Linked DNA regions of Coturnix japonica. The protein of the gene in region 6 purifies or fractionates together with the protein of the main gene of each other region. This does not show direct contact. Links are inferred from orthologs where the notes say so. Each region holds a gene or a part of one and is shown on either strand. Other genes may lie near its edges. The genes, in order: HDAC7, CTNNA3, TOP2A, TRRAP, SMARCA5, CTNNB1 and CAV1.

Region 1 (3,764 bases), on a different chromosome or scaffold from region 6:
TCAGAGCATCTGGTCCCGACTGCAGGAGAGGGGTCTGCGCAGCCAGTGTGAGGTGAGGAGCAGGGGAGGGGGGTGCCCAACTTCCACTCCTTTTGTTCCCAGATCTTCCCAGCCTGTTTTCCACCACTATCCAATAACAAAGAGGTCTTGGGAAGGGGGTTTACATTTGGCTGTTGCTGACACTGGTGTGACCATGGCCATGAGTTTGCTGTGCTGGAAGATGGGCACAATCCCTGCTGAGATAGGACTGAGGTGTTTTGCCAGCTTGGGGAACGTCAGTGTCAGCTCTTATCTATTAATCCTGATTTAGTAGGACTGACTTTGGGCCATAGAGGGTTCTACAACTGTAGGAAAACAGTCTGTCTATGGCTTATCTGGGGAGGGGAACACATGTCCCATCCTGGGGTGGTTCAGTCATAGCCCCTGTGCCCTGCAGTGTCTGCGGGGACGCAAGGCCACCCTGGAGGAGCTGCAGTGTGTCCACACCGAGCGCCACGTCTTCCTCTATGGCACCAATCCCCTCAACCGCCTGAAACTGGACAATGGGAAGCTGGCAGGTGAGCCCCCATCTGCCCTCCTGTGCTGTCCCTGTGCTGTGTGCCCTTATCCCTGGTTCCCATGGCTCTGAATCCTCCTTGTCTCCTCCTTGCAGGGATTCTGTCACAGCGGATGTTCGTCATGCTGCCCTGTGGAGGGGTGGGGGTAAGTGCTCCTTCTTTGCTCAGGGTGTTTTTTGGATGGGCTTGTTTTATTTCTTCTGGCCCCACTGAGTGGCCTGAGTGGGGAGGGAGCTCCCAAAGCCATTGGGCTGCTCTCAGCCCCCACCCCTGTGTGTCTGTGGGTTGTCCCAAGGGAGCTCAGAGCCTTGAGGGTAGAATCTGGTCTGTGGCCTCCTACAGACTCAGCCCAAGCAACAACAGCCTGCATATGGACACAGAAAATTGTCCCAGCCTCCCTCAAATGGGAGCAGGACATCATTGTAGCATGGCTTCCCACTATCCTTGGGAGCATCCTGCCCTTGAATCAGACCTTTGCAGACCCTTCCTCCAGGGAACCCTGCTACCACAAACCCCTTGCAGCCACATCTGAGAGCCAGGGGCTTTAGGAGGGAGCAGATTTATGGGACAGATGGGACCTCAGCTGTGTGCACAGCATCCCACATCCCAGTGGGATGGCCGGGGTGCAGCATGGGCTTCCACCAGGGTCATGGACAGTGGCATGGGGACAGCAGCTTTCCACTTCTCTCCAGACATTTCTGTGGCCTCTCCTCTCAGAGCTTGCTGCCCTGGTTTCTCTCCATTCATTGCATTCTCCTCTCTTCCTCTCTCCCCGTCTGTCCTTTTCTTTCTCTCTCTTTCAGGAAGGGTCTCACTCCATGCCTTCCTGCTGCCTCTTCTGGTTCTTCTCCTCTCCTTGCCCCTGCTGCTGGGCACCAGCTCTTCTCAGCCTCGTTTACATCCACTTTCCCTGCTCTGCCTCCCCCCTTGCCTTCCTATTGCCCTGCCCGAAGGCAGGGGCCTGGAGCTGCCCCCTCGGGGGGCAAAGGGGGAGCATTTGAATTGCACACATGGAGTTGATCAGAAGAGACTTGAGTTTTCCGGCTCTGGCTCAGCCCTTGACGTGATCCTGATCAAACCAAGATGTTTGGTTAAACAATAAAATAAGATAAAGAAGGTAACGAGCGTTTTCTCAGTCACTCCTTCTAGATCCTGGGTACAGGGTGAGGTGCTCCATGTGCAGAGCTTTCCCTGGGGGTCAGGGTGAGGAGCCATTACCCTGACTGCTGTCCCCAGGTGGACACTGTGGAGCCAAGGATCTTGCCCCATGGTTTGCAGGGTGGCTTCATCCTCTGAGCAGGGTGGCTGGCACAGAGTGTGGGTTCTCCTGCTGATGTGCCCTATCCCCATCTCTATCTGACTGTTCCCTTGCTTGCAGGTGGACAGTGATACCATCTGGAATGAGCTGCACTCCTCCAATGCAGCCCGCTGGGCCGCAGGCAGCGTCACCGAGTTGGCCTTCAAAGTGGCCAGTAGGGAGCTGAAGGTAAGGAGAGGGACAGTGGGGCCTGGAGGTCCCACCAGTATGGCACGGAATGTCCCTGCAGCAGGAATGGCTTGCTGGGGTGTTTGATCTCCTCATGGATTTTTTTTGTCCCCAGAATGGTTTTGCTGTGGTGAGGCCGCCCGGACATCACGCGGATCCATCCACTGCCATGTAAGGGCCCCTTCCCAGATGGGTGTTGTAGTGGAAGCCCCAGAATCTAGGTCAATACAGGGTCCCCCCAGGGGGTGATAACACTAATTGTTCCCTGTTAACAGCCCCAGGACCCTTCTGTACTCAGACTAAGTGGGGAGGGGAGGCAGAGCCCATCCTTTGGTGAGGGATGGGTGCTCAGGGGATCCTGGTTCTGAGCAGCTCCACCTGCCTCATTGCAGGGGGTTCTGCTTCTTCAACTCGGTGGCCATTGCTGCCAGGCAGCTGCAGCAGAAAGGGAAACTCAGCAAGATCCTCATTGTGGACTGGGTAAGTTGTTCCTGTCCCCTAGAAGGTTCTTGTGCCTTCCCAGGACATCCCAGCTCTGATTTGGGGTTAGACCTGAGGGTAGAGAATCCTAATTGGGGTCTGGCTTCAGGAACGTGGCTGGGATCTCCCTGACATGTCAGGGTGGGGGAACTGGGACCAGATCTGAGACAGGGGAGTCTGAAGCAGGGCAGGGATCTAGGTGCTTTTAGCTCCATTGAGCTGCAGGGCAGTTTCAAGTGCACAAAAAGGGGCCCTCACATCATCCATATCTCTCTGTAGGATGTTCACCACGGCAATGGGACCCAGCAGATCTTCTACAGAGACCCCGACGTTCTCTACATCTCTTTGCATCGTCACGACGATGGAAACTTCTTCCCTGGCAGCGGGGCTGCTGATGAGGTATGAAATGAACAGACAGGCCCCAAGATCCACACAGCTCCGCTTTGGGGCAGCCCCTTGGTTCAGTCCTACAAGTGAGAGACCCCAGGGTGTCCATCCCCTCCACCCTCAGGTGGACGTCTCCATGGAAGCTGATCTCCATTGCTTTGCCTTAATGCAGAGTTGGGGTTTCCTGTTCCCAGAGTGCAGGACATGGTGAAGCATGGGACTGCTTACTGATGGTTATGAGGATGGAGGGGATCTGACCCATGTATGGGTGGAGAAATGAATCCCTGCGGGCCACATCCAGCCCTTCACCATCATCCTTGCTCTCCCCCAGGTTGGTGCTGGCCCTGGTGAGGGATTTAATGTCAACGTAGCCTGGACTGGAGGCCTTGACCCCCCCATGGGTGACCCTGAGTATCTGGCTGCTTTCAGGTACTATTTTCTGCATTCCTCTGCATTTCCCCCATCTTCAGGCTAAGCCAACACTTAACCCCTCTTACTACTTGTTCTTTTTCACCCTGACAGGACGGTGGTGATGCCAATCGCACATGAATTCTCCCCCGATGTGGTGTTGGTGTCAGCTGGCTTCGATGCAGCTGATGGCCACCCACCACCCCTGGGTGGCTACAAAGTCTCTGCTAAATGTAAGGAAGTACAAGCAGCACTTTGAGCTCTTCCCATTGCTTGGCTGGGCTCTGGAGCTGGCAGCTCACAGGGACAGCTCAGAGTTATTCTGGCACAGCAGAGGGGGCTCTTTCCCTGCTGTATTGGGCAGGGAGGCTGATGTCTGCCCCTTGGATTTCCTGGGCAGGTTTTGGCTACCTGACCAAGCAGCTGATGAGCCTGGCTGGGGGCCG
Region 2 (3,764 bases), on a different chromosome or scaffold from region 6:
AACACAGTTGTAATTCTCTGCTGGTGCACACTCATTACACTGCAGCCTGAACCGGGACCCGGTGAACTCAGTGAAAACCCTTAAATTAATGCCTGTGAACTTTGGATCCAGCTCCTAATGAATGACTCATTCACTTTAAAGATCTTCCTTAGCTTTAATTCCATCTTACTGTCTTCAGTTATAGGTTTTCTTAATTTAATCTGTCTCAACACTTAGAAAACGTTTGCTACTGCAGGGCATAAAATAACTAAATGTTTCACATTCTCATGCTGTTAATTATCAGGACTTTTAGGAGCTTCTATATACATTTTTGTTCTCAAACTGTTTATTATGCTTTAACGTGCAAGTAAGATATAGGTCTTATGCACATAACATCAGTGTTTTTCTTCTGTGATGCATTCAGTAATGCAGTTTTTCAATAGATTTAGTAACGAAATACATACTTCTTTAAAAGCTCAATTTTATTGACTAGTACAGAATTTATACTTAATGGATTTTTCATACAATTATCCTTGTGCTTTTTTAAAATACACAGTCAAACTAGAAATCTTGAAGAGAAGACATTTATATGCATCTGAAATCTATTATTTCACAGTTTATGTGGGTATCTGTATATATTTTCACAATTTAGAAGCAAGGAATCATAATAATTAATCTTATCTCTTCAAATCCTAATCCTTTTGTGGAATCAAGCCTGTACTCCAGGAAGTGGTTTCTGGACACAGACAGATTGCAATGGGCTCTCATGGTTAATAACTGCACAACAAAATTATTTTTTATCTTTTTGCCTTGTTCCTAGGTGAAATGCCAACCAAAGTACCAAACATTAAACTGAAAATTGATCCTCAGGATCTGCAGATCCAGACCTTTACAGTGGAGAAATTACTGGAACCACTTATAATTCAGGTATTTTAACATTACAGAAAAGAAGTTAGACATACAGAGAAGTGAATGAGGTTGAAGAATATAGACTAAGAACACTGTTGTGTAAAGCATTCCCATGACTCTTCTGTAACTGGCTTGGAAACTGGGCATTGTTATGCAATTCCCTATTTTTATTTAGTTAATTGCATGTACCACAAGGTTCTCCGTCTACCTGCGTCCTTCAGCCTTGTCAAGATGATGACTAGAGGATTGCAGGACTGTCAGCATTGTTGCATCTCCCTCTTGGCATCCCAAGCAGTGACTAAGGTGGTATGTTAGAATATTGCTGTGCAGGGCTCTGCAGAGAGAGGAACTCACAGGTAGAAAGTGGCATAACTGTGTTAATCTGACTAGCATTATACTTCCATACTTACTCTCATGGCTATGTACTGCTAGTTGCACTAGGTCTTCAGAGTAATGGAAAAAAATTTCTTTAATCCTTCTCAACCCCCTGCCATCATGCAAACAAACACTATAAGGGATTGTCTTTGTCCATGGTGTTTATTTTATTCCATGTGTTTTGGGAAAAGTATGTCTGAATGGAAGGCTTTTAGGTACAATTCCATATCATATTTTATTTCACCTTCAGAGACCAAAGCTTGTTGAATTTTGTTGCTAATATAAATAAGGATAACATTTGAGACTAGATTAGGTTTGCTTCTGTAGTGTTGGTGCAGGCAGCTCAACACCTCACAGCTGCTCACCCACTGTTCCCAAATGGGATGAGGGAGAGAATCCTAAAGTTGAAAGAGAGAGAAATCATGGATTGAAATAAAGTTTATTTGCTAGGTGATGCAAATACTTCCCGAGCAAGTGAAGCAAAACAAGGATTTGTTCATTAATTCCCATCAAGAGGCAGATATTCAGCCACTTTTAAGACAGAAGAGACACATAACAATTTAATTTTTTCTTTGGAAGGCAAATGCCAACATTCTGAGTGTCCTCCACTTCCTCTTCCTTTACCTCAGTTTTTATTGGTAGGCATGACACCGCATCATATGGGGCATTCCTTTGGCCAGCTGGGGTCAGTTGTCCTGACTGCGTCCCTTTCTTAGCTTCTTGTGTGCTCTGAGCTTGTCTTTGGCAGGGCAGCTTGAGAAGCAGAAATGTCTTTGGCTCTGTGTATGCACTGATCTGCAACAACTAATACAGTCAAGGTGTTATTACTATTATTTGATAAAAAATCCAAAGCACAGCATGGTACAAGCCTCTAGGCATAAAGTTAACTCTACCTCACCTATGACAAATAACAAAGTAGTGCTAGACATTGTCTCTTTTGAATTTAATTAAAAATTAGGAAATATGTGGCTGGATGAGATTTATGTCACTTCATTGATTCATGAAGGAAACACTACATAACTGCTTTCACCCTGTGATCTGTGCAAGTCCTATAAGATGCAGATTAGCTACTTGTTTGGAGACTTTGTCTGAAATTCTGTCTCTTTATTTGTATGTATACACACACTTAATATGTGCTATGTGTGTACATGTATACTTCTCAAATATTTCAAAGAGTTTTTCCTTACCAAGCACATTTTCTTCCGTATGTTTATATTCTTTGCACACACACAGGCTATGGAAATTTTATGGCTGTGAGAGAGAGGTAATTTTTACAGAATACTTACAAATGCATGTGTTTTAGGATTTCATGTATTATATTACTGATGAAAAATAAGGAAGTAGAAAGGCTTTTATTTATTGCCATGTCACCCACACTGACAAAACTTTGTTCACATAGAAATGATTCAGTGCTGTTTTTAGTTCTGTATGGTGAATTTACTCTATGCACAGTGCAACTGATTAAGCAGTATTTATGCTTATGGGCAACACTTTGTTATTCCCAAACATCTGACTCAGACAAGGGCTGGCTAGCATTTGAAACGGTGAGGAGGTACTTCTGCTATTGTCATTAGATTGCTGGCTTCATATATTGTTTCTTCAAATGTTCAGGGATTAGAGTTACTTAACTAAATGCTTTTCAACACTTATAAGCTATTTTGTGGTTGATGCTTTTAATTTTTTTGTTATAATAATAATAAAGAAAATCTTTTGGTACTAAAGGTATGAAAATACTGTTTTCTTTAACTACAGTAATGCTAATAGGTTGTCTTTTAAAGACTGAATTGGTTCTGAATATAGCATTAGAAGAATTACTGCACAGTGCCCTAGGATTTCAGTATTTGTGAATCGTGACAAAAACAAAAAACAGAGCAATTCTACAAGCTTAATAAATAATGGTAATAACTGACAACAACAGATGTGCTGCTGTGATGGCATATGGACTTGAAAATCTCACTTTAAAATCTTTGGTCTTATAGTAATTCTCCTCCAAACATCTTAAGTGTTGTAAAATATGGTATTGATTTCCACTGAATGCTGGGAGATAGCAATATCATATATGGCAATAAGGATGTATGGCAACATAAAACTAACTGAAATGCAATTAGGCATGAGCTAGATTAATGGGGTATGTTTCTCCCTTGTTTGTTTATTTATTTATTTTATTATTCTGAGCCTTATAATGCTGTCATTTTAACTGTGTATTCTGTCACTGTTGTGCAACCTGTATTGACAGTGGATCAAAAAAGCATGCTATGTTTGCTGCTGCTTAATTCAATTTTTTTGTGTAGAATCATCAGTATGGTTTTATATTCCTCATTGGGATTTTGTGTTTGAAAATGAAGTAGTTTCTCTGTATCTATTAACTTTAGCCAACTTATCAGATTTTAACTAAAATTTGAGATCAGAAGCTGCCTCTATCAAGTGATGTTGGTCCCTTTTCCATAGAAATTACACTTCTGATATTTTCTGGCAGTGACGCTGAAGATGAAACATCTTAG
Region 3 (4,368 bases), on a different chromosome or scaffold from region 6:
GATTCAGGAAGAAAACATGTCTGAGTTGTTACCTTTGCTCAAAACCACCAGAGAGAACTCCAGACCAACAAGAGCTCATTCATTTCAGCACCAAGTATGACTAACAATAAACTGTCCCACAAACCCTGCAGCCACTATAAAGCTGCATTTAATTAACACCAGTTACTCATATAGGTACTTCAGTTCCCAGATCACACAGTCAGGCTGCCCAGGTACATCTGCACGCTCTGCAGTGTTCCCTACCTGTGACTTTCTTCTCATCATCATCGTAGTTGCTGGATGTCAGCAGCTGCCCAAAGATTAAAGCAGGAACATACACTTTTTCTACTTTGTGTTCAACAACTGGGATACCCTTCCCATTGTTCCACACACTGATGGTGTTATTCTCTCTGGAGGAGGAGGAAAGTATAATTTGTAAGGCTGCAGATGACTGAGCTCTGAAACAAATAGACAAGATCTCCACAGGAAGGCCACCATTTCATCTACAGACAGATTCCTGTTCAGCAACTGCGGCAGCAGCCAGCAGAGGGAGGGCAAGTCTACAAAAAGCCCTCCAGCTTCAGACCTGCAGAGCACCAATACAATGGAGCAGCACACAGAAAGCGTGTGCTCAGTGCAACCACAGCCTGGCAGTCAGTGCTCTGCAACAGAACGAGGAAGCACACAAGGAATGAGGCTGTTACAGCCCATGAGCCACGGTAGGTTTAACATGAATAGGCCTCGACACTGAGCTCTGCAGCACCTACATCAACAGGATGATGTACATACACCAACAGGGCAGTGAGGGAGTGAGAGAATGAAGCAGCTGAGGGGGGAAGGCATTGGACAAAAGCAGCACTCACGGGTCGATGGTAACTTTGATGCAGGACATGCTTTTATCCCTCTGCTTGTTGTCTGCAGCGTTGACTGGAAGGGGAAGGTGACTTTTATTAGAGCGCATTCACAAGTGGGACAATAGACATAAACCATAGTGAAAGGGCTAAATCAGGTGGGGTTTTCAGTAGAACAAATGCAAAGATCCAATGCAAAACCACCAATTAACTCTTTGGAAGGGAGATGTTTGGCAGGTTACAAAGAAGGACGCTACAATAACAGCACCCACAGCAGAACTGAGGGTTAAACGGGCTGTAACACAGCGGCCGTGTCCTTTGGAGGGCAGGTACAATGCTGGGCTGCACTCACCCAGGATCTCATCGAAGATCTTGTACAGGCCAGGCACGAAGGTCACATCCCTGCAGTTGAGGCCCACGTCCTCATCGAACACCCACATTTGCTGCAATGAAGAAGGAGCCACATACAGCACACACATACACCACATATAGCACATATAGCACATATATCACATACACCACATATATCATATATACCACATACACCACATATATCACACATGCCACATACATTACATACACCACATATACCATATATACCACATACATTACACACACCACATATAGCACATATATCATATATACCACATACATCACATACACCACATATAGCACATATATCATATATTATATATACCACATGCATTACATACACCACATATACATACCACATACAATACATACACCACATATATAATACATACCACATATATCACATATACCACATACATTACATATACCACATACATCACATACACCATGTATAGCACATATATCACATATATATCATATATACCACATACATTACATACACCACATACATTACATATACCACATACACCACATATACCATATTTGCCACATATACCACATATATCACATATACCACATACATTACAGACACCACATACATTACACACACCACATATAGCACATATATCATATATACCACATACATTACATACACCACATACATTACATACACCACATACACCCCATGTCACATACATGTCACATACACCCCATGTCACATACATGTCACATACATGTCACATACCACATACATTACATACACCACATATACCACATACACACCACATACATTACATACACCACACACAGCACATATATCACACATATATCACACATATATCACACATATATCTCACATATATCACACATATATCTCACATATATCACACATACATCACACATACATCACACATACATCACACATACATCACACATACATCACACATGTATCACACATGTATCACACATGTATCACACATGTATCACACATGTATCACACATATATCACATCACACATATATCACACATGTATCACACATGTATCACACATGTATCACACATACATCACACATACATCACACATACATCACACATACATCACACATACATCACACATATATCACACATATATCACACATCACAGGTCTCCCCACCTGCGTGACGGTCTCCACAGACCCGATGTACGTGTCCGGCCGCAGCAGAATATGCTCCAGCTGCGTCTTCTTCTGGTAGATGCGCTCCACCGAGAGCCGCTTCTGCGCCACATCGGCCTTGGGCAGCCGGGCGTTGTCGTGAAGGGGCTGCGGGAGAGAGCGGAGCTCAGCGGGGTGGGGAGGGAGGGATGGAGGGAGGGTCTGGTCGGTCCCTCACGTACCCGGAGCGGCGCCGGTGAGTCCATGAGCTCCATGGCGGCGGGCGCGGAGTGATGGCGGCCGGTAACGGCGCAGCGCGTTTCAAACCTCCGCCGAGCCCGCCGAAACGCTCCGCCAATCACAGCGCACCGCCCCTTGAAAACAGCCAATCGCTGAAGGGCGGAGGGACGTACGGCCCGCCCTCCCGTGCGCTCCGCTCTTTCAAAACCAGACAGTCGGGAGAGGGGGCTGCTTGATGGGCAGGTCTGGTAACCAATAGAGGAGCGAGGAAGGAGGGCGCTGCGAGGCACGCAGTACATCGTTTGGGGGGCGGCGGCGTGCGGGGCAGTGCGGGACTGTGCCCCCCCAAAACCATCCTCAGCACCACGGCGGCATCCCAGCCCCATATCCAGCCCCATATCCAGCCCCATATCCAGCCCCATATCCAGCCCCATATCCAGCCCCATATCCAGCCCCATATCCAGCCCTATATCAGCCCCATATCAGCCCTATATCAACCCCATATCAGCCCCATATCAGCCCCATATCAGCTCCATATCAGCCCTATATCAGCCCAATATCAGCCCTATATCAGCCCCATATCAGCCCCATATCAGCCCTATATCAGCCCCATCCCAGCCCTATATCAGCCCCATCCCAGCCCTATATCAGCTCCATATCAGCCCTATATCAGCCCCATATCAGCCCTATATCAGCCCCATATCAGCTCCATATCTGCCCCATCCCAGCCCCATATCTGCCCCGTATCAACTCCATATCAGCCCCATACCTGCCCCATATCAGCCCCATCCCCGCCCGCCCATCCCGCCCATCCCGTTCATCCCGCACGGCGGTTCCATTCGGTTCCATTTGGTTCCATTCGGTTCCATTTGGTGCCATCCCGAACGCAACAAATAGAAGCAGCGCGTTGTAACCGCCCGATGTGCAGCTTTGATTGATCCTTTATTTATATCCGAGGAAACGTGGGCGCTGTGTGTGTGTGGGGGGGGGGGGGGGGGCTCCGTGATGGACGGGGTGTCCGGTGTCCCGCTGCTCCCAGCCGCAGCCCCCCCCAATTCCGGGGGTCTCTCACCACATGTGTCGGTACGGGAAGGCGACCTCCACGCACAGCACCGCCAGCTCCTCGGAGCAGTTTCGGCGCTGCCCGGCCAGCAGCCGGCCCGGACCCAGCGGGGCCGCCAGACCCTCCCCGGGGCCGGAGCTCCGCCAGCCCTGACAGTCCCGGCGCTGGGAATGGCCGCCCCGCCCCGTGGATCCGTGCCACGCCAACCTGCGGGGCCTGCGGGGAGACGGGATGACGGGGAGCCCCGGGGAGACCCCCCGACATCCCACCCTTCGTGGGCCGGGACTCACCAAAGGGCATCGCTCAGCACGTTGCGCCCATTGAACGTGTAGATGGGGCTGCGCAGGGCGGCTCCAGCCGGGCTCTGCAGGAGGGAGCTCCAGGAGCGAGCCAGCAGCTGGCCCTAAGGACACGGGGGGGGCAATGAGCTTTGGGGGGGGGCAGTGAGCTTTGGGGGGGGGACAAGCGTTCCTCAAAGCCCGCTGTCCCCATTGCAATGGCTGTGGGTGCGTCTCGGTGCAAGGAAAACACACGGGGAGCCCGTGCTTGCTGGGGGGATAAAGCCCTGCCTTCAGGTTGACGATGGGGAGGGTCCTGTCCGTCCTCTTGACGATGGAGGCCAGGTCCTGGCTGGGGGCCGACAGGAACGCCCGGAAGGTTCCGTAGAGCCCGGCCTCGTGGGACTGCCGGTAACACTGCAGGTCGGCACCGCGGATACCGCTCATGTCCC
Region 4 (3,764 bases), on a different chromosome or scaffold from region 6:
GCATGCCATAGGCCATTCTGTTTAAAGACAGATGATTAACAGACTGTTACCACACTGGCTGGCTTAGCAAGAAACCCTGTACACTGAGAAAATCCTCGTCATGCATCATTTCCTACTTGCAGCTCTTCCTAAAACAAACTGCTCAACAAACACATCACATGCATGTCTCATCAGTGCAGCTCCCACCTTGTAATGCTCAGGCGATTTTAGTTTCAAGATCACACTCGCCTCTTGGTCTGTTCAGCTTCTGCCATATTAAAACTACCCAATGAATGCCATAGAGAGGGTTTGTTTTTCTTTTTTAAATATTTATTTTGAAAAAATCACTCTGTACAAATGTAACATCCTCAGCACTGGGGTCTTATAAAAATGCTCACACAACAGAAGGACTTGAGTGAAACATTAAACTCCTCTCTTCTTAAATTACAAAGAAACTGATTCATTCTAAAGAAGCTATTGCAATTCTAAACATTAAAAAAGAGATAACTTTATAAGATTTATCTTCTTTCTCTATTGCAGTCAAATACGTGTATCAATAGATGACTTCTCCCATGCTTTTTATAAGCTTTCCCCCCAACACTGTCCACAACTGAACCAAATGCCCTAAATGGATTACACTTCTTCTGTACACAGCTTGTGCTCCAAGAAAACCTCGCACAATCTCACCATCCTTTTCTCAGTGCCTAACAAAAAGATGCGTCTATACATCCGGTACAAAAGTCTCTGTACAAGCCACATTTGCTCACGTGAATTTCTCAAGCAAATTCAAGGAAGAATATTTATTCGAGCCTTCCATTTGGTATCATGAAGGAACAGTGATTAAGTAAAATTTCACAAAGTAAAATCAATGAACTGGGAATTCTGTCCGCTTTAATAATTATTACTGTATAAAAACTTTATATGTTGTAGGTTATTAGGAATGGCAAACCTGAAATCTAACAGTGCTAGTTTTACAGTCCCCATCATAAAATAAGATTTTTTCTGTGTATTTTTAAGTTTCCTTCCCTAATTTTAAGCTATTTGCAAAAGCCATTGTTGCAAATTCAACAACCTTTTCCTTTTTCCTTATTTTTTTTTAAACAGGATTTTAAACCCTCATGAAATTAAAAGGAGTAAACCTGTCCTATTTCTGTAAACACAATCCAACGAAGACTGACAAAATGCAGTGTGACAGGTAAGCCAAGGTCTGATTTCTCTTTCACATTTCCTTAGCACAATATATGGCTCACACCAGTGACGGCAGCATCAATAAAAAGCTATTGCAAATTTCAAGTTACAGCCAGGGGTGCCAGGCAGGATCCATCCGACAGAGATTATCCAAGCTATTTGCAGCTGCTACCAGCGTGTTCACTTTGCTTTCTCCTCCTTCAAACTGAGCAAGATTATGAAGTCGAGTCATGATAGCGGTGACAGCTTTCTGAACGAGTGAAACCAGCTGCTGGCTGTCCATGTTTTCAGGCTGTCCAGCTGCTGAGAGCGGGGAGGAGGTATCCTCCTGTGTTTTCTTGTGCCATGCAATTATTTCATCCCGCAGCACAGTTTTCAGGATCCCATCAACCTACATGAGAGAGAAAAATCAGACTATTATGTTTAAGCTCAGCAAGCACGAGCTCTACTCTGCAGACTTTAAACTAAATATTAGTCTCCTCATGCTTCTAAGATTTTCTGGTATCAAGTCTGAGATAAACCTTCTGTTTGCATATAGTAAATAAGCATGTTTTAGCATACCTAGATATCAGGTCACGCATTTATTAAATACATTTCATATCAAACGTTAAAGGAATTCCTCTCGTGTCCAGAATTCAGACAAGCTAACACGACTGTAACCACACACCTGAGATGAGCTGGGCACCCATCACTCCAAAAAGCACAAATGGGCACCCATGCTCTCGTCTTGTAAATTCAATATGAGAAGTCTAATCGGGTTGACATCATCCGGATGCACAGATTACACACCAAGTCAGCAAACTCATTTGCATGTACAGACATGGCTTTGTAAGGCAAAGTGACGGATTATTTTTTAAAAAAATCTAAATTTTCCATATTACAAGGAAAAAAAAATCCTTTTAGGATATTTTCCATCCTTTACAAAGTAACTGCTCACACTGTAGCTGCAGTACACTCTGTGCAGTGCCGTTCTGGTGCAAATTGCAGCCTAAGTGCATGATGCCTCATTTTTGGAAAGCATTAGAATTTAAAAGGAAGTTAGACAATTTCTTTAGAAAACTACACCCTGCTAAGAGCTCGAATCCATCAAAGGAACAATGTATCTTGAGCATTCTGCTCTGCTAACAAAGGCCAAACACATTTCTATTCACAGCATATTATGAAGATTCTAAATGATGTTGCATTTGTCATTTCACTACTTACTACTGCCAGAACGTGTAGGGATTTATGAGGCTACAGCACTGAAACAATCAGCCTGAATTAACACACTTCAACAGAATAAAGAAGAAATTCAGGGTACAATTACACCTATCTTCCTCCTATTCTTTCCAAAACGGCAAAGTCTTCAGCTGCTTTTATGATGACCTTGGGGTAAGACTTCAAAACATAAATATGAGGTGCTCAGTTGCTATCTCAAGCAAGAAAATGCTGTTTAGCTCCTCGTATCCTAAATGATAAATGCAAATGAAGTGCCCGTAAACAACTTTTGGAAAGGTATACAAACCTTAAAGTTTGGCTGTGCAAAGCAGCGAGCAACTGCAATCATGGAGGCGGTCAGTGGGCCGGACACCCCAATGGTGGTAAGAAACTCGGAGATGTTTGGTGTGAGGCGGAATGGAACCGGGCGATTGGCATCCAAATCTCCCGTAGCATCATTAATGTCAAAGCGGAAATATGCTACATTTAGCTTGCCAGTATCCTGGATGGAAAACCAAAATGCACAGTTTTTGAGTAAATAAGTTCAGACTGAAGTAATTTTTACCAGTGAGTGTCCAAAAAGCTGTAATGAACACAGATTGTAGTATTAAACCTCGGGAAGCAATACTCCTCTGGCAGGGGTCTGAAAGGAGCTGGGCATAAAGATGGATCTTCACTCTCCAGGCATCTCAGCTCTGGGTAAGCACTTTCTATGTGCTGCTCACTGGGTAAGAACCTGAATGGCACAGCTGCACAGTGGGAATTAAAAATCTACACTGCCATACACAGCGTAACTCTCCATGCATTAAAATGCCATTAAGGCTTTAATATATACCACCTTTGCTCTACTCCTCATTTTAAATATTGGGTTAAAACAGAGAACTTACTTCTAATAGGAGTTGTAGCTTGACGTGATGTCAATGCAGAAAAGAGGCCATTATTTGAAAAAGGGTTTGCTTTTAAAAGTTTTATTTTGTTGTGTTGTGCTTTGTTTTTTTTTTAAGCTGTTTGGCACACAGGTCTATCCAAAGCAACATGTTTAAAACAAGACTAAAGAGAGGCTGATCAGTCACTTGCAGTAACAGTTCTGATATCTGTAACCAACTTTACAGACTACGTAATAAATTCTAACCACAGAAGGAAGACTTGATGGCAACTGGGTCTGCAGTATAAATCACTGCCTACATGATGTGCAATCACATAATCAAATGAAAGCCTACTGAAACACAATTATATATCGCAAATCCCCTTTTTGACTCAATTCAAACTCTGAAATTTCCATTTGATCAAAAAAGACAGCGTGTAGTTAGGACAAAACAAAGCATACCTGAGCTATCTGCAGCATTTCAGGGTTGAGTCTGTTTAAATGAAAGATAAATTCTGCAAAGCCAATCAGGGCT
Region 5 (3,764 bases), on a different chromosome or scaffold from region 6:
CAGAGTTCTGGATATCTTGGAAGATTATTGCATGTGGCGAAATTATGAATACTGTAGACTGGACGGACAAACGCCTCACGACGAAAGACAGGTATATAAGTATTTCTCTTACACAAAAACAGCATTTATAAAACATTTAGTGCAACTGATGATAATGTTCTCTTTATTCAGGCTTCTATTAATGCGTATAATGAACCTGGTAGCTCAAAATTTGTCTTCATGTTGAGTACACGGGCAGGAGGTCTTGGAATCAATTTGGCTACTGCTGATGTTGTAATTCTGTATGATTCAGACTGGAATCCACAAGTAGATCTTCAGGCTATGGTAAGAACCCAGATACAAATGTTCTTTTTTCCTCATGTAACTTTCTTATAAATGTGTGTGTTATACAGTGGTGGCATTTTTAAGGTTGAAGTGATCTTTCTCCTGTTTTAGCATAGAAGTAGTATTTTGAAGACTTAGTATTCAGTTCCAGTGCAGCTTAGTCACATTTGGGCTATGCAGTGATTCAAGTGGGGGGAAGGGCCATGATACTCCTAGTAGTGTTTAAAAGTAAAGTAAAAGAGGACTGCTTTCACTAAAAACTAAACTAATGGCATGTCTTAATTTCCCAACTATAAACCGTCCTTCTCTGAGGAGTCAAGTTCAATGTACTTTCACTGTCTCCACTGAAACCTTAGAAAAGAGGTGAATAAAAACCTGAATTAGAGTTTTCAGAAATTGCTTCTGGCTGCTAATAAACGTGCAAGCTCCTGTTGGCAACCAACTTTAATTTGCTGTAATTTTCTTTGAAGTAAATTTTTATGCATCTCCGGACATTGACAAAGAATGTTCATGATGGCTAAAGAAAGAAAGTTGGTATTTAAAACCTACAAATGTTAATTGGCAAATGAAGTCTTTCAGTGACGATTGTATGTTCTCAAGTGTTCTAGCAAAAATAGTTTAAGAGAATGATGAAAACAATGCCTGAAAGCCAAAGTGATGTAGTTCAAATTACCACTAAAGGTGTATGTTTGGAATACTAATTCTTGTAGTGGTTAATGATTTGCCAGTCAGGTGAGGTTGCATTGTATTTTTTTATTCAAATACTCATAGAAGGACTGAATGGTTTTTAGAAAGGTAGCTCTTGGTCAGTACAGAGACAATTGCTAAGGTACTCTGGTTTTACAGGAGGTTGCTTAATGCCAGAAATATCCAATCTTCCCCTTTGGTATTTAACCAAAAGAACCCCGGGCTATTTTGAGGAAAATTGTGTTTACAGACTTCGTTATTATTGGGATTACTTTAAAAAAGAAAGAAAGAAAAAAAACAACACCAACTTGAAATGCAAAGAACAGTGTTGTCCAACCAAATGAGAGAGACAAGAGTACCCAAAGTAAGAGTCGAACCAGGACAGTGCGAGGGAAAGTATGTGCTTTTCTCTGCGGTAAGCTGAGATGGCCAGAGGCAGAGAGTGGCTGGGCTCCGCTCTGGAGACCCAGAACATGAACTCTTTAGCTGCCACGGTTCTGCATGATGTTCTAATGTGGAATGCTGATACCAAAAATCACAGAACCACAACACATGCTATCTTGGGTACTCATGCTACTTGGACTGCTATAAAGCTGCAACTAGCCTACACTATTCTGTGTTACAAACTAGTATATTGAAACTAACTAAATTGATGGTAATTATATATTTGGGTTAAAGCATTAAGTTTTTGTTATGTTATTTTGTGTAGGATCGAGCTCACAGAATTGGTCAAACAAAGACCGTAAGAGTGTTCAGATTTATCACAGACAATACAGTGGAAGAAAGGATAGTGGAGCGTGCAGAGATGAAGCTCCGCCTTGATTCCATAGTCATTCAGCAAGGCAAGTATATGGGGGCAATTAGTTAAGTTTGTACACAGGATGAGTTTTTTGTTTTGTTTGTTTTCAACAATTAAAGAAGTGAAATCAAGTGAATGTTAATGGGAATGTTGCTTTTGCCCCAGCTGTACTCTGAAGATGGAGTGCAAAGACCTGATCCATTTGAAAACTTACAACAGGGGTAGGCTTCTCCTCATTAACTTTTTGATTACTTGCCCAGAAATAAAGTGGATATAGACAGATGTCATTTTTTTAAATTATTCTGTTTAAGAAAATTAGTGTTGAAATGGAAGAAGTAAGACCTTGGTTTTATTTAATATGCAGGGAGAAGTGGTGAGGATATAACCTCATACATAGGCTATAATGGAAAGATTATTCAACAAGGTTTTGTCTTGAAATTGTAAAAAAAAAAAAAAAAAAAAAAAGACAAAACACCATCAACCAAAAAAAAACCATGCACCAGAACAGCCAAAATGGTTCAAATGCAACTAATGTACTGTGAAACAAAATGTATGTCATTCCTGGGTAGATTTTGCTGGCTTTTTATTTATTTATTTATTTTTCCCACATGGAATTTCCCTGCATGAGATGCATTTTCAATTTAAGGCTAAGGGAAGGGGGAAGTCTTCTATTGTTCCTCCTTATGTTGTTACCTTCCAATGCTTTTCTCTTAGGAAGACTGGTGGATCAAAATTTGAATAAACTTGGGAAGGATGAAATGCTGCAGATGATCAGACATGGAGCGACACACGTGTTTGCCTCCAAGGAGAGTGAGATTACAGATGAAGATATAGATCACATTTTGGAAAGAGGTGCAAAAAAGGTGAGATAAATGAAGTATTAAAAGCAAAGAAAGGCACTTCCCTGTAAACTTAGATGTTAGGCATATATTGCTGGCTGACAGCTTTATTATAAGCTGGAGAAAAATATGGTTGTTCTTAGAAGTTTTATATTGGTTTTTTTTTTTTTTTTTTTTCCTACTGTTGCAACTGAGTTTTTGTAACTTTTTGAAAGCACTTTTCTAAATTGTTAATATTCTTTTCTCTCTCCCCTGCCCCCAGACTGCAGAAATGAATGAAAAACTCTCTAAGATGGGTGAAAGTTCACTCAGGAATTTCACAATGGATACAGAATCCAGCGTATATAATTTTGAAGGGGAGGACTACAGAGAAAAACAGAAGGTAACCTTCATGTTTCCTTCGGAGGAAAGCAGTGATCTGCAAGATTGTGCCATACTTTAAAATGTGTTGGTTAAAATACAAGAGAACTACATAAACAACTTTGAATTTAAATTATTTAATAAAGTAGATGTGCTCTTCATTTTATATAAAATTAATAGCTGGACTGAATATTATATAGGACTTAGTCTTGATAATTCTTGGGGGTAGTAGGATTTTATTTATTTATTACTATTATTATTATTTACAGATGGCATTTACAGAGTGGATTGAGCCCCCTAAACGAGAAAGGAAAGCCAATTATGCTGTGGACGCTTACTTTAGAGAGGCTCTGCGAGTCAGTGAGCCAAAAGCTCCCAAGGTGAGTTGACTAATATTAAAAATAAATTGATCAGATAGATGTGGGAAGTTAAAGCTGAAAGCAAGAAATTGGCCTTAATTTATTAATATCACTCTGTTTGCTTTCATAAATTGGGGTGGCACTTAGAGGGTTAAATTTTAGAAAAATTCAAAGGATTTGAGAATTTTATATGGGGAAAGAGCAAGAGAGTGATGAAACCTGTAATGTAAGAGTTCAGGAGGGTGAAGACTTGACTTTGCTTTTTAAGTGGCAGTTGTTTTTCTTTACCTATGGACTGTATGCTTATTTGGTGCACGTGTGAGTCTTTTTCCACCAATCTCTTCCCCTGTCTTCTCTTGTCACCTTTTTACTTGCAGAAGTCCTCATGTTGTAGTG
Region 6 (4,235 bases):
CTGCACTGCCAGCGTTGGCTTTGCCAGCTCTTGCCGCCTCGTTGCCCTCATTCTTACCCTCCTTTTGGCCTGTGGAGCCAAAACAGGCAACCGTCCTGAGAGAAAACACTGCAACAAATGAAGCTGGATGCCTTGGACCTCCAACTTCAAGGCTGTTCACCTCTTACAGCGGGAACCTACGGGTGCCCAGAGGCTGGTAGGGGGACACTGCTGCAAGCCCTACAACATAACAGGAAGGAATCAAAGATGATTATTATTAGAGTAACTACTTCGAGAGCCATTTTAATGGGACAAGCCTCCCTGCCCTGTACGGGGTGCGGCCCCACAGGGATGGGAAGGGTGCCCGGGCCGCCTGGGAGGTTGGGGCGTGTCCTGTGTACAGCAAACCCTCCTTATTTTTTATTTTCACCACAAGGAAGAATCCCATTTGAAAAAAAAAAAATAAAAAAAAAATAAAAGCATCGACGGGAGCAAGTTGACGTGCAAATCGCTGTAGAAAAGGCTTTTTTTCTTTCTTTCTTTTATTTTTAGTCTGTGTATTACTGAATACAACGAGAGGAAAAAGAAATACGAGCAGCAAACTCATATCCCCGCTCTCACCGTCCCGCAGCCCGCGCTGAGGCGCCGAGGCAGGGCCGCGCCCCGCGGGGCCGCGCACGCTGAGAGGAGGCAGCCCCGGTGGTGAGGAGCGGGTCCGGGGCTGCTCGCTTCTTTCGTGAAACACCAATAAATCGCACAACGAGACACTTGTCTTTAACAGCCGCTTCCTGGAGAAAAACGCGAGGCGCGTTTTCGCCGACGCCAGCGGAGCCAGCCCGCCCCCCCCCCCATCCGCCACCCAAGCTAGGCTGTGTGAATCGGGGGCGTGCGTTGCGAAACGTGCTTAAAACCCAGAAAAAAAAAATATATATATATATATATATATGTATATATATACTGAAAATAGTCTTCTCCGTACAAACAGACGGTGCAGGGACGCAGCCTCCAGGCTGATCCCCGCGGCCGCACCCCTCAAGCACAACTTCACTCGCTCGCTCCCTTCTCCCCCACCTCCGGAGCTCAGCGTCCCAACCACCACCGCCCGCCCCCTCCCTCCTTCCCTCCCCCTCGCTCCCTCCCTCCCTCAGGCGGCTCCTGCTGCCGCCTCGGCCTCCTCCGTCTCCCTCCGCCCTGGGAGCCGGGCACTATTTCTCCTCCCCCTGCCCTGTGCGCTGGGTGCCTGTGGAATGCTGCGCGCTGGGCCCGGCCGCGGCGGCAGGATACAGCCAGCCCAGCGCTCGCTATAAGAGCCTGCTTGTGAGCGCCGCCATTTTAAGCCTCTCTCCCGGTTCGGCGCTGGGAGCAGCAAGCAGCGGCGCTCGGGGACTACCGCCGCCGCCTCGCACGGTTGCTATACGGGAGGCAGCGGCGGGGGACGCAGCTGGGAGAGAGCTGAGCCAGAAGGAGGGCGGCACGAGGAAGGAGAGACGGATCCGGCCGGGATCGCCCGGGCGGCAGCAGCAGCCGGAGCCCGAGGGGACGCTACGCTCTCGCCTCCGTGCCACGTTAGTGCCGCTTCATCCGGTGGGATCTCGGGGCGAGCCCTTCCCTCAGCGGGGAGAGGGAACGGGGGGGGGTCCGGGCTTCGGATGGGAGGGTGGGGGGCTTCGGGAGGGGGGGCGGAAGGGGTCGGGACAGCTGCGGGAGGCGGCAACTGCGGCCCCCGGGGCCTCTCGGGAAGCGCGTCCCGGGCAGCGGGGCGAGGCTCGGCGGGCATGGGGCTTCTTGGGAGGGTTTTTCGGTTCTCGGGGGGTCACCGAGCCGCCGTCGTGGTGGTGGCGGGGTGAGGGGCGGAGAGCAGTGGGTTTGTTCGTGTAATTAACTAATCACGGCCGCTGCAGTGTGCGGGAGATAGCTGATCTGATGCCGCGTGGGTTTTCGGTCTTATTTGCGTGCCTGTGATTGCTGGAGGGCTTACGCTGTTCATGGGGGTCCGCGAAGTGCGGTCGTAGCGTCAATTTGAGACACCCTGTAGCCCATCTGGGGACCGCGGTTCCCCCCAGCTAAGGCGCTTCGAAACAACTTGGCAGTCGCTCCCAGCTATGTTTGGGGCACTTATTTCCGGCTCCCCGTGAAACGGGAGACCCAGGTGTGTCCATTCCTGAAAAGCCATCTTTTGTGCACGGTCCTGGGGCAAGTTTCTCCCAAAACTCCCCAAATCTTCGGTTATCCTCTAGCTGAAACTCGCAGCAGGACGTCGTGCAGTCGATTGGATTCTCTTTTCCCAGAAGAGATACCACCGGTAGAGGTTACTGGGAAGGGAGGACAGGCTGTGAAGGTACCGCGGGCGGGTTGTGAATTGGAGAGCAGCGGTGTTGATCTTTGCGGTCGGCTTTTACTTCTTGATCTCTTTCTCGTGGAGCGGCCATTGTTCTGACACTCGGTACGTTCCAGACATCTGTGGTCCTCCCATCCCCCAAAGTATGCAGTGGTGAATGGAAAGAGGCCGGGCTGGTATGCTGAGGTCGGGGGAAGGAAATCAAGGAGGGGTTTTAGTAAAACAGGATCTTTGTGTGCTCGGAATAGGGCAAGGGCAGGCTAGGAAACTACCTGGACGTGTCACTATTTCCTTCATTCTGAGTTCAGAATTAGGGGAGATAAACTCTTCCTTTAACAAATTTGCTTCTGAATGTTAGTAATGTCCTCCTGCAAGCCTTTAAAACTGCAGTGAGCGTGAAGCTCATTGCTGTTTGTTAAGTTATAACGTGAATTTCAGGAACTGACAATGCAGGAATCTAATGTTAATCTTGCACCCTTTATAAAAGGTGCTGACAGCTGCCTTTATCTGTGTGTTGCAGAATGGTTGGTACTGCTGGAAATGAGCTGCTGAAGTGTTCAGGAAAAGTCTTAAACCTCTCTAAATTCAGCCACTGCAAGAAGAATTGGATCGAGTGCTGGGTTCTTCTGGAGCCCTAAGGAAATATCACTGTTCTGTGGCTATTAGTTCATACATCTGTTTAGTTACAAACTGATAGACATGAGAACGTTCATGTTGATCTGTTTGACTGTTTCATTTCAGAGTGTGGGGAAGAAATCAATAAAAACACCCTGATGAAAGGACAAAGCAGGAGAGCTTCTAAAAACAAGGATTTGCTTTAAAGTCAATCCATTTTTCAAATGTAGCCTTCTGTTACATCTCCTGCAACCCAGGCTTCCTGTTCTTACCAAAGCAATAAATGGGCTGGGCTGCTTGCCTGATCCATTCTCATGAATGCTTGCATGTTGCTGTGACTGCCTGGTGTGTCAGTAACCAGCTTATCAAATCTCAGTCCTGAAACCTCGCTGCCCTTCAGAGATGAGGCTTTCTTTGTGTGGTGAATGTTGGTTTTCGTGACTTTAAACTAACAGAAGCTTGTGTTTAGTCTTTCAGAGCGCAGTGCTTAAGTGAATTCTTTTGTAAAGGAGAAAAGTCGGTTTTGGTGGCCTTCTAAATGACTCTTGGAGTAGAGAGGCACATAGCAAGAAGGGAGCAGGAAAGAGCAATTGTAATCATCTGTCTTTGTGAATGGGAGTCTGATGGTGCTGTCTGAAACTTACGGCTAAAGATGTTTCTGTGGAATACTGTCTGGTAGGCAGATTAGTGTGCAAACACAGCAGTAAGCAGAATCGCTCCTGTTAACTCAGTTAAAGCTGGTAACACAGGGCTGGCGGTGATGATGGCAGCAAAACTTGTTCTGTAACTCTGGCAGACTACGTACTGCGGCAGGAAAATCAGGACCGACCTTACTTATCTTAAACATCATATACTTCATAGGGCCTGATAAGATTTGGTGAGAAACTATGCAGGCAGCTGGGGCTTGTGCACGACTCCTCAAGCATGTGCCTGCAAATCCTGAGCCTCCTGCCTTTCTGGGTGGCTCTGCAGGAGCTCCGGCTTAGCCGTGGCACCGTGCTAATTCTGCAGACTGCGTGGCACTGAGTATTGCATGCGATTTCCTTGTCTGTTCAGGCAAAGTGACTCCTGGTAAAAGAGGGCAGGGCACTATTGCTGGCTGACTTTTTGGTTAAGCATTAGAAGGCTTGTTTTGGGGGTGCTTTGTTGTGTGACGTATCCACTGCATTGGTTAGAGTTACCAATGTGAGTAGCTTGACTGGTTAATTTTAATATCCATCTCTGATAGTTTATTCAGAGCTAGAATTTTCTCTAAGCTGTGTTGGGACTATAGTCCCAAAGGGCAATGACTTAATATACTCGT
Region 7 (3,764 bases), on a different chromosome or scaffold from region 6:
TCACCCTGCAGCCTTCTCTTTGCCAGGCTGAACAAGCCCACCTCCCTCAACCTGTCTTCAGAGAGGAGGTGCTCCAGCACCCTGATCATCTTTGTAGCCCTCCTCTGGACCCTCTCCAACAGCTCCCTAACAAAGAACTCAGTTGAATTCACGTGAAGACTCAATGAGAGAAAGGGAGAAGGTTTTTTGTCAACTTCAGTCTGTATTTTAATCGAGCTTTTTTTGAGCCTTTTCCTACAGCATAGGTGATACACTGAGTATATTCACATTCATGTCCTTCCAGCGTGCTAAGGACCTGTTGCCTGACTTTCTGAGACCTCTGGCCCATATCTTCCCTTATGGCAGCAGTATCATTGGACACTGGGATTCAGTCCCAGGAATGCATTTTCTTTTTTTCTTCCATCTAAGTTAAACAACCATTTCATTTCTTAGAGAGATATAATTTGATGGCGTTCTTTTTCCTGTTGTATGCAGCACCTATGCAATCTGTTGCGCTGCCTAAATTAAATATCCTGTATGGTGGGTTATATCAAACACATTTGTGTGACATGGAGCTGAACTATCATAGTAATTCTGTTAATTTTCTAATAGAAATGTTATGACAATTAGGCTTCCTGAAAAGCTCAATATTTCAACAGAGAATGGTAAAATATGCATGCTGGAATGTACTGCTTCCTTAGATGACTCTGTGAACAGTTTATGAATAATATTCAAAACTATAAAATATGTGGAAGAGTGTGTTCCTTCTAAATATTAACACGTTATCCTGACTATGTCTTCCACTAACAGTGTTATCACGTAAACAGAGCAGGTTAGAACAAAATGGCTCTCGTGTGAAAAGCCTTCTTACGCTTAATAAAATTGAAAGACTCCCTCACTCTTTTACAATAAAGATAAGTTCCATCTTAGGCAGTTCTAAATCCAGCACTTTGTTTTTCAGCCAATCAACAGCTATCTATGCCTATTTCAAAGTATATTTAGATGCCCTCAACATTTGTTCACTGTCAAAATTCAGCAATACTATATAAGGGAAGGTGGAAAAAGTCAAACAAATAAAACACATTTTATTGATGTGTTAAATGTCAAAGCAGTGTCTGCACTTGTTCCATTTATAAAGATGTGAGATGGTGAAAAGCTAGACAATGAAAATACAATGTTTCTATCACCTTTTCATGTCTTAAGTAGAATTAAGGGCATTCCTTACCCTTAAGGCTGCAGGAGAGGAGGACAAAATATTCAGTTCTTTGGATAGCTCTTCTCCATCTAAAAGTTAGATGTGTATCATTGAGCTAATCATTAAGTATCACCTATAGTCAGTGGGGAAAAAAAAAAAGACAAGTCTTGCTCATGGCTTAGGTGATATTTTAAAATGGGTTAATTCATATTGGGATGTAAGAAGCTTCAATGTTTGTTACAGGCGATCATTGCTTTTGAGGAAGGGGCTTTCTGGGCTCCACACTTGATGAGGATGTTTGACTGACCTGATTTTTGTGTTCTTTGCTGCAGATTGATTTTGAAGATGTGATTGCTGAGCCAGAAGGAACACACAGCTTTGATGGGATTTGGAAGGCCAGTTTTACCACTTTCACTGTAACAAAATACTGGTTTTATCGCTTGCTGTCAGCAATCTTTGGCATTCCCATGGCACTCATCTGGGGCATCTACTTTGCTATCTTGTCATTCCTGCACATCTGGGCGGTGGTGCCGTGCATCAGGAGCTACCTGATTGAGATCCAGTGCATTAGCCGTGTCTATTCTATCTGCATCCACACATTCTGCGACCCACTGTTTGAGGCTATGGGCAAGGTGTTCAGCAGCATCCGAGCCACAGTACAGAAAGACATTTGAGGGACATTTCAAAAAGCCTGGAGAAGGGGTGGGAGATTTGTGTTGTTTGGGGTGTTTTGGTGCCAGTTTCACGTTTCCCAAAGCAACATACAGCAACTGGTGGATATACTGGCCCAAAACAAAAAATCACTTGCTCAATATCCTTTTTTACTATGTATTCATACTGGACTACTTGCCTATTGTGTTTTCTCTTTTCAGTCTGTATTTCAAACTAACCTTAAATAGCTATTCCTCCATGACAGCTGCATATCATTTTGCTGGCTGTTCAATTCAGAGTCTGAAATGTTGTTGGATGCCTTTTTGTCTCACTGTTCATTCCTTGTAAGATAAATCCACAGAGTTACCAAAGAATGACAAAAAAGCTTTCCAACGCTGTAATGCCATTCATTTTATTGTGGCCAAAGAGTGTAGAGCTGCTGCAGCAGAATAAACATGACAAGCTGGCAGGTTTTAGCAGAATGTTCTTTTTCAATTGTGTAGTCAGTTGACTACAGCGATTTGCAATCATGGTCAGGTGTGATGTACTATGAATACATTGGATAAGTAAACAATTTACTTAATTAATGAATGTCCTGAAAAACTAACATTTCATCAGGTTGGAGACACTGACATGTGAAAGCTTTGCTCATCCATAAAAAGGCTTCTGTTAGTGCCTTTGTATCTCATTCTTACTTGGAAGTTTGCAGCCAGTTGTAGCTCAACCTTCACTAAATTGTAGAAGAAAAGTGAAGTTGAAAACTAAAACTGGTCATTATGGAAACGTTTTCCTGACTGTGACTTATGACACATCCTTTAGCTGTTTTAGGTGTTTATCTCGTGGGCTTCATTTATTTTTTTTCCAGAGTATTCATATAAAAGCATGCCAGAGATAACCCTGAGTTACAAGAAACACGAAGGTGTGCCAAACACAAGCCACAAAATGCCAAGGAGGGGCTGCCTCTAAAGGAAACTTTCCAATGAGCTTTAAAAAACTTTCCTATCAGCAGAAGTCAGCATGCCGCGAGCACACATTATTTTCAGATGAACTGACGCTTTGCTGAATCTAAATTAATCCATCATGAGAGACGGTTTAGAAACTTCACATTGTGGATTAGTCTGTTTTTAGCTGTGCTGCAACATCAGGAAGTCTTAAATGGAGGGTGTTGTGTCAAGCTAGCCTATGTAGCAAGGTTAAAGGCCTACAAGGCAAAGTCCTTGCGACGCTTTCTGATGCTGTGACCTACAGGAGCTTTTTGCCCTCATGATAGTACTGTGTTGAGAGATACAGCCCGTATCCTCATGTGGTTTGCATGAAGCTTTTGTAAAAAGAGTTGTGAGGCTGATCTGCTTTATTGTAACCAGCCTGAGGCCTGAGCCTGCTCTGGTTGGCATCTACTGCAAACCAGTCTTTGACCTCCAAGAGAACAGGGCTTGGCCCTTGGAATTGAGCACGGAGCTGTCTGGTACACCTGCAGCTTTTTTATCTAGCGCTGATATTTCACCTACTGCTTTGCTTAACACGGGAGTGCCTTCAGTTGCATTTCTGCCAAAGCATTGAAAACTTTAGGAAATGCTGCATTTTTTTTAATGGGGCCGGGAGGGAGGAAGAGAGGGAGGGAAGAGGGGAAAAGGTGCACAAAAAGTTACAAAGCTATTAACTACTATTGTTTGCATTAAAAACAGACACTGGTATGGATATAGTTTTATGTTTTTCTATGTACATAATGGAGAGTGTACTATTATAGATTTTTTTTTTCTGTACTGAAACCAAGTAAAATTTTAAAGAAGATATATTTTATCTTTTTATGAGGAAGATCATTCAGAAGAAAACTTTCCTGATTTACCATATAAACTGTATATCCTGAAAGCTGTCTGTTCACTTAGACATATTAGTCCCTAATCCAATACATTGCTGATCCAAGACATTTACATTGTTG

The links.
Region 1: the proteins of CTNNB1 (region 6) and HDAC7 purify together in Homo sapiens (affinity purification with western blotting; 5 studies listed by BioGRID, with this or other methods). This does not show direct contact. The link is inferred for Coturnix japonica from reciprocal best matches to the Homo sapiens genes CTNNB1 and HDAC7.
Region 2: the proteins of CTNNB1 (region 6) and CTNNA3 purify together in Homo sapiens (affinity purification with mass spectrometry; 4 studies listed by BioGRID and IntAct, counting the BioPlex papers as one, with this or other methods). This does not show direct contact. The link is inferred for Coturnix japonica from reciprocal best matches to the Homo sapiens genes CTNNB1 and CTNNA3.
Region 3: the proteins of CTNNB1 (region 6) and TOP2A purify together in Homo sapiens (affinity purification with mass spectrometry; 3 studies listed by BioGRID and IntAct, with this or other methods). This does not show direct contact. The link is inferred for Coturnix japonica from reciprocal best matches to the Homo sapiens genes CTNNB1 and TOP2A.
Region 4: the proteins of CTNNB1 (region 6) and TRRAP purify together in Homo sapiens (affinity purification with mass spectrometry; 3 studies listed by BioGRID, with this or other methods). This does not show direct contact. The link is inferred for Coturnix japonica from reciprocal best matches to the Homo sapiens genes CTNNB1 and TRRAP.
Region 5: the proteins of CTNNB1 (region 6) and SMARCA5 purify together in Homo sapiens (affinity purification with mass spectrometry, with the first as the bait; 3 studies listed by BioGRID). This does not show direct contact. The link is inferred for Coturnix japonica from reciprocal best matches to the Homo sapiens genes CTNNB1 and SMARCA5.
Region 7: the proteins of CTNNB1 (region 6) and CAV1 purify together in Homo sapiens (affinity purification with western blotting; 3 studies listed by BioGRID and IntAct, with this or other methods). This does not show direct contact. The link is inferred for Coturnix japonica from reciprocal best matches to the Homo sapiens genes CTNNB1 and CAV1.

Annotation. Positions count from the first base shown.
Region 1 is NC_029544.1:454,442-458,205, forward strand, and holds part of HDAC7 (histone deacetylase 7), read left to right. Parts: coding exon 1-52; intron 53-436; coding exon 437-557; intron 558-652; coding exon 653-702; intron 703-1,935; coding exon 1,936-2,043; intron 2,044-2,158; coding exon 2,159-2,214; intron 2,215-2,435; coding exon 2,436-2,523; intron 2,524-2,802; coding exon 2,803-2,922; intron 2,923-3,241; coding exon 3,242-3,339; intron 3,340-3,432; coding exon 3,433-3,551; intron 3,552-3,718; coding exon 3,719-3,764. UniProt on the Homo sapiens protein: Responsible for the deacetylation of lysine residues on the N-terminal part of the core histones (H2A, H2B, H3 and H4).
Region 2 is NC_029521.1:8,410,907-8,414,670, reverse strand, and holds part of CTNNA3 (catenin alpha-3), read left to right. Parts: intron 1-799; coding exon 800-906; intron 907-3,764. UniProt on the Homo sapiens protein: May be involved in formation of stretch-resistant cell-cell adhesion complexes.
Region 3 is NC_029542.1:4,104,603-4,108,970, forward strand, and holds the start of TOP2A (DNA topoisomerase 2-alpha), read right to left. Parts: upstream 2,890-4,368; 5' UTR 2,875-2,889; coding exon 2,578-2,874; intron 2,504-2,577; coding exon 2,357-2,503; intron 1,274-2,356; coding exon 1,183-1,273; intron 907-1,182; coding exon 843-906; intron 390-842; coding exon 244-389; intron 1-243. Other genes in the region: collagen alpha-1(III) chain-like, read right to left, coding at 3,644-3,854, 3,929-4,041, 4,208-4,368. UniProt on the Homo sapiens protein: Key decatenating enzyme that alters DNA topology by binding to two double-stranded DNA molecules, generating a double-stranded break in one of the strands, passing the intact strand through the broken strand, and religating the broken strand.
Region 4 is NC_029529.1:1,465,493-1,469,256, reverse strand, and holds the end of TRRAP (transformation/transcription domain-associated protein), read right to left. Parts: coding exon 3,692-3,764; intron 2,867-3,691; coding exon 2,672-2,866; intron 1,559-2,671; coding exon 1,274-1,558; 3' UTR 288-1,273; downstream 1-287. UniProt on the Homo sapiens protein: Adapter protein, which is found in various multiprotein chromatin complexes with histone acetyltransferase activity (HAT), which gives a specific tag for epigenetic transcription activation.
Region 5 is NC_029519.1:26,884,898-26,888,661, forward strand, and holds part of SMARCA5 (SWI/SNF-related matrix-associated actin-dependent regulator of chromatin subfamily A member 5), read left to right. Parts: coding exon 1-91; intron 92-171; coding exon 172-324; intron 325-1,720; coding exon 1,721-1,853; intron 1,854-2,524; coding exon 2,525-2,673; intron 2,674-2,911; coding exon 2,912-3,031; intron 3,032-3,278; coding exon 3,279-3,389; intron 3,390-3,764. UniProt on the Homo sapiens protein: ATPase that possesses intrinsic ATP-dependent nucleosome-remodeling activity.
Region 6 is NC_029517.1:39,909,252-39,913,486, forward strand, and holds the start of CTNNB1 (catenin beta-1), read left to right. Parts: upstream 1-1,273; 5' UTR 1,274-1,544; exon of another isoform or gene 1,545-1,563; intron 1,564-2,272; exon of another isoform or gene 2,273-2,422; intron 2,423-4,235. UniProt on the Homo sapiens protein: Key downstream component of the canonical Wnt signaling pathway.
Region 7 is NC_029516.1:22,486,173-22,489,936, reverse strand, and holds part of CAV1 (caveolin-1), read left to right. Parts: intron 1-1,506; coding exon 1,507-1,848; 3' UTR 1,849-3,764. UniProt on the Homo sapiens protein: May act as a scaffolding protein within caveolar membranes. Forms a stable heterooligomeric complex with CAV2 that targets to lipid rafts and drives caveolae formation. Mediates the recruitment of CAVIN proteins (CAVIN1/2/3/4) to the caveolae.